Drosophila melanogaster: one gene and its partner. The protein of the gene in region 1 interacts with the protein of each later gene in a biochemical or structural test. Each region holds a gene or a part of one and is shown on either strand. Other genes may lie near its edges. The genes, in order: Tao and msn.

Region 1 (4,913 bases):
AAACACTTTTTTAAGCAGAATCTGGAGGCTCTACTATACAAATGGGTAAAATATAACTTGCCCCAGCCCCAAAAGTGGGAAATAAAACAATAACACTAGGGACACATGAGAGCGATACGTAAATAAATACATTGGCATACTTCAGTTTTGCTATCAAAACAGACTCCTACCAAGAAATTAAAACTTCGATTGCTACTCACCGGAAGAGTCGGCGACTCATTCTGCGCAATGTGGTAGAGCGCCGACATGGCGTTCATGTTAAAGTAGGGAGGCTTGCGCTCTGCCAGTTCGATGCAGGTGATGCCCAGCGACCACACGTCCACCTTGCCGTCGTATTGGCCCTCGTCCATGGCCAGGATCACCTCGGGCGCCATCCAATAGGGCGTGCCGACAAAACTGTTGGCCGGACACTTGATGGCAGCGCTACCGAAATCGGCCAGCTTGACGACGCCGTTGTCCGTGAGCAGGATGTTGCCCGCCTTGATGTCACGGTGGATGCGGCCCAGCGAGTGCAGATAGCTCAACCCACTGAGCACGCCCAGACAGATGGCGGCGATCTCGTCCTCGTGCAGCGGCTTCTTGTGCACCTCGATGATGTCCGAGGCGGAGCCCACGCAGTACTCCATCACCAGCCAGGCGGTTGATTCGCGCAAATAGCATCCCTTGTATTCTATGGTGTTCGGGTGGTTCAATTGGCGAAGGAAGCTGTTGTGTACACATAAATTGATTAGAAGTCACTCGGGCGAACGCAAGTGTCAGCCAGTGCTCACCGTATCTCTTTGAGAATATCCTGCCACTTCTCCTGGCTCTGCTTGCCGGTGTACGACATCTTTTTGATGGCCACGATCTCCCTGGTGAGGTTGCATCGCGCATAATAGACCGCGCCGAAAGACCCATGGCCGATTTCGCGCAGGTCCTCGAAGATTTTCTCCGGGTCATGCTTGTTGAATAGGTCGGCTATTTCCGGATCCTTGAGACTACCAGGTCGTGCCGAAGGCATGGCTGTCTTTCATGCTCTAGCCCAGCTCTCTCAGTGGTCGACCTGCGTGCTTCTCCTCGCAGCTTGCAGCTCCAGCTGGCTACTCTGCTGTCTTGAAGTTCTGTGCGGATCGGGTGGGGCGAAAAAAAGGCGATTCCGGTTAGTCAGTCACATTCACAGCCTGCGCCAGTCACTTAGTCATGTTCAAAGGGTCGACATTTTTGGGGGATTTCAGGCTGAAACGCTGAGACTGCGGACCAATTGAATTGGGCGGCACGGGGCGTAGCGGGAATGGCTGGGCCAGTGGACAGTGGGCACTGTGCTTTGGTCAGCATTTGCATGGGGAGACGGTCAAACGGACGGACGGATGGGAACAGCTAAAAGCCGACTATCATCAAATCGATCAAGTGATTCATGCTCGCACATACTGTACGAATCATTCAAAACTCCGAATTCCGCACGCAGCACGGCCTTATCGCAAATATATTCACTGTTGGCACCGTCTTTTATGGCCAGGCTATTTTCCTCAGCTTGTTACCAACTTGTCAGCTGCTTTTTGGCCAGATTACGACAGCTGGGGTGTAAGTGGTCTAGGGCATTTGGCAGTCGGTATGACTAACGCCGTTAAGTTCATTTGCTTGGATTTCGAACAAGTAATGAGTGGAGTGGATGCGCACGTGCAGTAGGGCGGTATTTGTGGTCAAGCTGGACTAACTAGCTAGGTGTAGGGTATGCACACGTGCTGCAGGGTAATCAAAGGTCGTTACGACTGACACACAAACACACGCGAGCTGCCAAGGAGTAACGGCACCAAAGGGGTGCATTTATCGCCGTTGCGAATCCAAATACACACACACACATGCATACATTGGAGTATGCATGTCTGTGCATGCGGAGGCGTTTTGCGGGCGTCTGCGGATATCCGCCGGCTAAAGACGCGGATTTTGGCCCCCGTCGGAGCTCCGGCTTTCGCCTATCGCCGCCTGGCAAAAATTCTCAATACAATTAGTCCGCTGTGGTGCGGCGACTGCAATTCTTTGCCTGCGACGCGAAACAGAAACACGCCTATTTTTCATAGCCACCACACTATTGCACAAAGAGCAGCCATGTCGCTCACACACACTCACGCGCGCGCTCTATATGTATATGTGCGGTGGGATTGCTTGTTGTTTTGCATTTCGGGCGACACAAATTCAATTCAATTCGTGCCTTTTCCGTGGCTTGCACTGTGCTGTGGCGCTCCGTCACAGGGAATTGTAGTAGAATACCAAAGAGTTCTGCGATTCGAATTGATTTTCAGTTGGGTTGGCTTTTCCTTGGGTGCGGACTAGGCACACACCGAAGGAGCCGAAAAAGAACGCACGAAGGCGGTGATGCTGCGCCAGTTGTTGGTTTTCTTCGTTGACTGACCACTTATTGACTGATTACCATGGTTGATCTATGTGTTGCGATTAAAATTGGCTTATTTCGCTGCATTTTGCAACTGTTTTGAATCGCCTAATTTTGTTTTGCTTGCACACACACACACTCACGCTCGTCGGGGGAGCAGACAAATACACACACATTCGTATGGTTCGACTGGTGCTATCCCGTTCTCGCGCGTTGAGGGAGTCGTCGCACCGAAATCAGATGTAGCACTCAGAACCCGCAAATGCGCTGTATTTGATTGAAATTTGTGGGATCAATGATAATACCACATTGTTAATTCAATGGGCAGATGGCACACAAGAAATTCGCATTTATTGGCCAAAACGCAAACGCGAAAAAGAACAGTATGCACATACACACACGTACACGAGCATACGCATTCACACACACAGGCACACACGCACACAGGGATGGAGAGACAGTGGAAAATGCATAAATCTGGCGAGGCGAAAAAGAAAAAACGTTTGAACTTTTTCCACTGCGTTCGAGGGCTTACATTTGGCAATCAATTAGTGCTTGCTTGTTTATCGGCGCAACTGGGTCTCGCTTTTCGCATCTGTATGCATTTTTCCCTTTCATACGTCGCTTTCCCTACGACCGCTGCTGCTGTTATTGGCCCTGCTGCGACTGGGAACGGGAATCGGAATGGGACTGGTAGTGGTAGTGATACTGCTACTGGGAATGGCAACTATTGCCCTGCACTGCACACGCGTTGCGTTCACGAATCCGCACTGGCTACACATCTCGAGTGCCAAGCACCGAATTCGGGGGATCGTTACGTCGCAGATGCACCCATCTACGGCATGGAAAATTGGCAGCGATTGTCTATTTGCAACTTTTCTTCACCCGTTTCTCTAATTAAATTCCGTAAAGTTCACGTTCACACAGCACACAGTGTTACCAGATCAGCCGAGCGGCTTGAAACCAAAAACTACCACTGACCGCTTTTTACTAAAAAATCCCGATTTTAGGCGATATATTTAAAATTAACTTATTTTTTTCAATATGTTTGCGAAGTTAACTCTTGCAGAGGCGTTTTTATAGTTGAATTCGCTCAATTCAATTAGTTTTAAGAGAAAAGGTTCGTTTTTTGGTCTCTATCGATAGTCTATCGAACGTGCACCGGGTGGTGATGTCCGTGGTTACGCTATCGTTTTGGAATTATTAGTTTTTTTTTTTAATGTTTGAAAATCAATAATTTAACTTATACAGAATTCTGCAGAATTACAGCTCACGAAATCGCAGTTGGGTATCTATGTTAGAAGAACACATATATGTATCAAATTTTTAATAACTTTTTAATAGCTCAGTTCGCTAAGTCAAATACCGATACTCATCGCAACAAGTTTGGCGCACTTTTTGAAAACATACTGATAATTTCATGATACGGTATTTACTTAGCTATTTAACGCCCTCCTAGTTAATATAAATTACGGGGAACTTACATTATTACTTTATTTGATATGTTATTTACAACTATGCAAACTGGGAATACAAAAAAATGGATGCTTATATTTAAAATAGTTTATGTTCAATTTTAAGCACACTGCAACACATAAGCTATACATATGTACATACACATAATATATCAAGCTGCGAAGTTAATTTTATTGCCCACGTTGGAAAAATGAGAAACTCTACCGCTTAATTATAGAAGTACTGCTGCTGATTGAAAGTTGGGAAGCGATTCGTGTTGCCAAGCTCGAGGGGCGGGAAGTAGCCTTGGGATGATGCGGGAATACCAGAAGCACCCGCTGAACCCTGATCCTGACCCCCATCCTGACCCGCATCCTGAGCCCGCTGTCCAGCAAACGGCTGCCCAAAGTCGTCATCGCTCTCGTAGTTGACCAAAAATCGCGAAGCACTTGGTGGGGGAGAAGCAGGTTGGGAGTCAGGCCCATCTGCAGTGACAGGAAATGCAGCCGCATCCGGATCGGCAACTGAGTCCGGGTCCTGGGAGTCAACTAAGTCTCCGCTGTCTGGGTCAGCCGCCGCCGTCGCCTCCGCCACGGCTCGCGACCTAAAGAAGGTATCTGCAAAGTGTCGGAGAGAACCCAATTGTACGGCAGTTAGTTAAGAGGTTTCGTATTTTACCAGTAGGTTGTGCGTACTGATAGATAAGGCGGTCGCCCAGCTGGGCGGGACGCCGCTGTTGAGGATCGGGCTGCTGGGGTCGTGGGCGCGGCCGTGGCCTTGGGCGTGGCGGAGCTGTGGGCGGCGGCGGAGGAGGTGGAGGCGGTGGAGGTTCAGCTGGCGCCGCTGGCTGCGCATCATAGTCATAGTCGTAGTCATAGTTCGGCGGAGGAGGCGGTGCCAGTGTCGTTGGGCGTGGACGTGGTCGCACCTGCGGTCGGACGCGTCTAGGTGGCTGTGTAGTGGGCGGCGCAGGCGCTGGAGGTCGTGGTGCCGGAGGATCAGCGTAGTCCACATCGAAGGCCCCGGGCAGGAAACCGGAACTGAAGAACGGATGCCAGATGGGCTTACGAATGCGTATCGGAGCAGGTGG
Region 2 (5,268 bases), on another chromosome or scaffold:
TAGGCACGACCGGCCTTCAGGATGGGCTTGTCGATACGACCGCCGCCGGCGACGATGCCAACCATGGCGCGGTTGGCCGAGGGCACGACCTTCTTGGCGCCGGATGGCAGCTTGACACGCGTCTTCTTGGTGTCCTGGTTGTGGGCAATCACGGTGGCGTAGTTGCCAGAGGTGCGGGCCAAACGGCCGCGATCACCGGTCTTCTCCTCCAGGTTGCAGATGATGGTACCCTCGGGCATCTGGCTGAGGGGCATCACGTTGCCGATCTGAAGGGTGGCCTTGCGGCCGCAGTACACGAACTGGCCGGTGTGCATGCCCTCGGGGGCGATGAACAGCTCCTTGCGGATCTTGTAGCGGTAGGGGTCGCGGAAGTGGACGACGGCCAGAGGAGCGCCACGGCCGGGATCGTGGATGATGTCCTGAAACATGGAAGAAGTACGATTCGCTTAGTTACACTTCAAAAGCAGTTAAGCCAAGTGAGCTAAGTAACTTCTAGTAAGCTGGCACAGGTGCTCAAGCACGTCTCTTGAATGTGGCATGGCCAAATGCAAGTGATCTCATCCACATTAAACGGATAGGTGTAGTTGGTGATCCTAGGAGCACGTTACTCACCTTGACAACTCCGCGGATGTAGCCGGAACGCTCGGCGAAGTCCAGGGAACGCAGCTTGGCGGCTCCCTTGCGCTTCTTCACGTGCGCCTTGAACACGGAACCAGCTCCCTTACGCTGTGCACGAATAACGCGACCCATTGCTGCAAGACAAATTCACGGGATTAGTACTCGAACTCCATATTGCAAATGCGGCGGTTTCACTAAATAAGATGGCCATCTTCAATGCAACACGCTACGGAATTTCGATCTTATTCGAATATTTTGACGGAAAATTGAAATATTCCATGTTACACGGTTATAATGTTAAATTGCGCACTGTAAACAATTTCCGCAATTGAAAACACCACCAAATTTACAAAATTTAGCACGTGGCTTACCGTAAAATTAAAATTGCCCAATACGACCACTCCGGAAACGGGGCGAAAAGAAAAGAAAAGAGGAAGACATCCTAGAGGTGGGCAGGGAATAGTGTGGCTGTGTTTGGCGTCTGGCGTCGTGACTAACGTGCTGCTGGGGAAAGAGCTGTTTCTCACTGCTATTTTGGGTATTCGCGAAATTGTTAATTTGCTAATAATAATAAATAAAATAATAAAATTTATCATATTAAATCTTCAAATTCAGTTTTCGGAAGTTTTACTAATCAGTAGCTCACTTGCCCAGAAAATTTGGTTTGATTTCAATCTTCGCAAGGTCAATTTCGCTGAAATCTGCTTTACCTAATCGAAACGTTTCTAAACTGGATAATTTTAATATAAGTTAATCGATTTTATATATGTATATAATAATTCAATTAGATGTATGAATAATTCGAGTTGAGCTGGAAAGTTGTGTCGAGCACTTGCCAATTGGATGAGAAGTGAAAAAGGCGACCCAATCAGAAATAAAATAGAGAGTGAAAAGAAACCAGTGGAAATATTCCGAAGCCGAAAGATATTTTGGACTATGCTATGCGTTCCACTGGCGTACATTTTTAGACGTCTTTATTTAACACATCTAATCTTCGACCATACATATCTTATTCTTATATTCCAATTCTGATTATTATATAACTTTAATAGGAAATGACTCAACGATTTGTGTTACCCTATGAAATAAAATATTAAATATGTTAATATTTTTTATTTTCCCAGCCTCTTTTTTCTAATTGGAATTAGTAAATGTCTATAATCTAATTTATTGATTACAGTTGCAAATTTGTTAATTTGCTATTCTGAAAGAGAAGAATATACGGGCACACGAATTGGCCTTTTACGGCTCGATATGTTTGCGGTATGTGCGCAGAAATGAGAACGGTAATCGCGGGGTATTTTTCAGTTCGCGATGGAATAAGCTGCCATCGGCTAATTGGTCACACTGTTGGAATCCGTCGGGGTTTTGGCGTCGCGTAAAACGGAAAACCGTTCTGATTTTCACTGAAGTTGGGAAATTGAACTGTTCAGCTGGTTGTGCGATGCAAAGGCGATAGGCGCCCATCGCTGTGCGTGAAGAGTACGTATTCGCGGTGCGCCAGTGAAAATCGCGAGTCCTGCGCGAGAACGCAAAACGCAATCGGGAGGAAAAAGCGAGTGGCAGATTTTTTCTGTCTACCTACACAAACACATACGCAGGCTACTGCACTGGTGTGGGTGTGTGTGTGAGGCTGGTCCATCGGAGCGCCGCAAAAAAAATATTGAAATTGTGCAGTGTGTGCGAAGTAGCAGATGAATCGGCAGTGATAAATAAATGGTTTAAGGGCGAGAAAAGATTTTATAAAGTGCTGGGGAATTAAAAGAGCCGCGCCCCGTTTGCCAAACGTTAACTAACACACACAAACACTCCGTCACAAAACACACATACGCACGCAGAGCCAGAGCAGTGAGAAAGAGAGATGGAGAGAGACAGAGAGCGAGAAGAAGAGCGGAGAAGCGAAAAGAGAAAAGTTGTATGACAGCAACAAATAGTTTGTTAATTGCACGGGTTTTTTATTGTGGCATTTGTCATTTAGAGCGTATAAATCTTAAATCGCGGTAAAGTGCGTATAAATCTAAAATCGCAGTAAAGTCCTGCGGCCGCTCCTTCTCCACTCTATTTCTCTCCCCGTTGTTTTGTCCCCTCCCCCCGTTCACCGTCTTATTTGCATTTCTCCTCTCTCCACCTCTTTCTGCGTGCGAAGAATCAGCAGCAGCAATTCTCCAGATCCAGAAGAACAAAATAAAATAGCAAATCAAAATGGCGCACCAGCAGCAACAACAACTGGCTCCATCGGTCAACTGTTCACTGGACGATATCGATCTGACGGCCCTAAAAGTGAGTCAATAAGCTGCGGTTATCCATCTCGAATGGAAATGGAATACGACTAGAAATAGAACCAGCAGCAGAGCCCCCCGAAAATAGAGCCCCCACATTGCCCCCTCCCCATCAGCTATATTCATTAACAAGCCTCGCCCGATTAACGGGAAAGTGACCGCCCCGTGATTATTTTCCCAGGTGTGGTCGTTTACACTCCAATTTCCGTTCGTTATTTGTTAGTTCGATTTCACAAACTATTTACACTATCTGAAAGGTTTCACAATCGATTAGTTTCAAAAAGATGTAAAATATACCGAGATGCAACCAATACGAATTCTTTTTTTTTGATATTATGATGAATTTTTTATTTTATATTCCTGCAATTCGCAAAGAAGCCCCTTTACTCAGAACTTGGTTCCAAAAATACCCCACAATATCTTACCCAACTCGATTGGCCTTTCCAGTCGTCAAACCCTCGAAGGTTTCCCCCGCACATTTATGCAAATTGTTTAAAAGTACAACAAAAGCGAGTTCTTTTTCTTTGTGTTCTTCCTTTTTTGCACTTTGCCATGGCAACGAAAAAAGGTTTTTTTTTCTGGATTTCCGTTCTCCCCCTCGAAGCAATCACAATAATAATCGAGTTGATAACTGCACATTGACATTTCGATTTCATTGCCTGACAAAAAACCACCCAACTTGGCACCACCCACCCTGTAAGTTTTGAATGTGAGAGTGGTGTGCGCAACTTTTGACCGGCCGGTGCCACCTTCTCCGCTTTGCCAAGCTATTTTTTGTTTCGCTTCGTTTCTCAATGAATTTGTCGAGTCTTAACCCCCTTTCGGCCGCCTTAGCACCCCCCTTTAACCCCCCTGTGGCCGCACGCACTGCCGCATGCGTTTGTTGCCTTTCTCTTTCACCAAACATTCACCACTCTCAGCACTTTTGGTGGCGGAACGGAACTCACCACGCCCGCCGGCCCCACGTTGGGCGCCATCTCTTTTGCTTTGCGCACCCACCGAAAGTTCAGTTTGGCACAAGTGTGTGTGTGAGTGTCCGTTTGTTGACTCTGCCTGGATGTGGTGGGTGGTGGGGGGGGGGTCAATGTGGAGTGGGCTGGTGGTGGTGCTTGGGTCGTCGCCTCGCTGCTACGGCATGTGCGCCGCTGTGGTTGTGTGTGTGCTTCACCCACAGATGAGGCCAAAATAATAGGCTTTAAGGCGGCCTTAAAAAAGGGATGTTCCGTGAAGTTCTATAAATTAAGTTAGCACTAAAAATCTGGAGTCAAATTTAAGAGATCACAGCATTAGTTTGGGAAGAGTTTTAGTTGGCTTTCGTACGGATAATATTACTTGTTTGTTCGTATACATGAAAATATACATATACAAACAAGTGTATTTTTCGGATTAAAGGCTCATTGCCGATTGACTTATATTCACAGTTCTTTTGAGTAGAACGAGGCTCCGCAGGCACTATTATTGTAGCCCCAACTGTTAACCCGTGTGTGTTTATGAAAAATTGTTCATAGTCGATGCAGAGCGACGAAGACGAGACAAAAACGAGACAAGAATGAAAATTGTTTAGTTTACTTTATTAAAAGGCGGCAGGCAGAAGCGAGCAGAGCAACACCATGCGTGCTTTTGTATCTATGCGAGTCGCATGTATCTGAATCGCTGTGTGTGTTTGTATCTGCGCTGCAGCAGACAGCTTGAAGATGGCGATAATGTGGACTCAAATGATAATGATGATGAAAACGATGATTAAGATGGGGCACACACACAACACCGGCTGCCAAGAAAAGCGGCGACGAACCCAAAGCAAAATCAGCAAAAATGGCAGCAGGCATGAGAATCATGAATTGTGATGTGTGTCTTGTTTGAAGTGTTGTTTTTATTTTTGTTTTATTTCTGTTTGGCCTTCTCCTCTCGGTGAGGGGCGCTAAAGTGGGCGTGGACGTGGGCGGCCCCTCGCCTGCATGTCTGCCATATTCCGGTGACCTGTCTGTGCGTGGCTTTTAAAGGTCATTAAACACAATGGCCGAGAGAAGAGAGATGCGATAGCTGTGGAATGTCCCGAAATAGAAAACGACAAAAGGTCAGAGTCCTTAAAGCTAAGGTTCTTTCTCTCGAAACTGGCTCGCTTTGTTAGGCTTCCGTTCTGGTTTCTGTTCACTCGATAAGAACTCCACTCCCCTCCACTCCTTGTGTCTGATAAGATACCACAAGCTGCATTCATCAGCACAAATTTCATTAATTATTTCTGGTTTTTACGACTCCCCATTTATTTGTATTTGGTGCAGTTTCTTTTATTCTCCACTGATAAGCATTCAAACGCGGTTCGTCTTCATTTTGGTGTGGCTTCCACTTCTTTATGTGTATTTCACTCGCATGT

Evidence for each region.
Region 2: of the proteins of Tao (region 1) and msn, one has a biochemical effect on the other in vitro, tested with the Drosophila melanogaster proteins (one study listed by BioGRID).

The regions. Positions count from the first base shown.
Region 1 is NC_004354.4:19,576,495-19,581,407, forward strand, and holds the start of Tao (Tao), read right to left. Parts: upstream 3,307-4,913; 5' UTR 2,904-3,306; intron 2,009-2,903; exon of another isoform or gene 1,408-2,008; intron 1,101-1,407; 5' UTR 1,001-1,100; coding exon 771-1,000; intron 706-770; coding exon 201-705; intron 1-200. Other genes in the region: CG14218 (uncharacterized protein), read right to left, coding at 4,052-4,440, 4,502-4,913. UniProt on the Drosophila melanogaster protein: Serine/threonine-protein kinase which regulates the Hippo/SWH (Sav/Wts/Hpo) signaling pathway, a signaling pathway that plays a pivotal role in organ size control and tumor suppression by restricting proliferation and promoting apoptosis.
Region 2 is NT_037436.4:2,583,235-2,588,502, reverse strand, and holds the start of msn (misshapen), read left to right. Parts: upstream 1-1,962; 5' UTR 1,963-2,100; exon of another isoform or gene 2,101-2,237; intron 2,238-2,248; exon of another isoform or gene 2,249-2,466; intron 2,467-2,764; 5' UTR 2,765-2,820; coding exon 2,821-2,898; intron 2,899-5,268. Other genes in the region: RpL8 (ribosomal protein L8), read right to left, coding at 1-419, 613-750.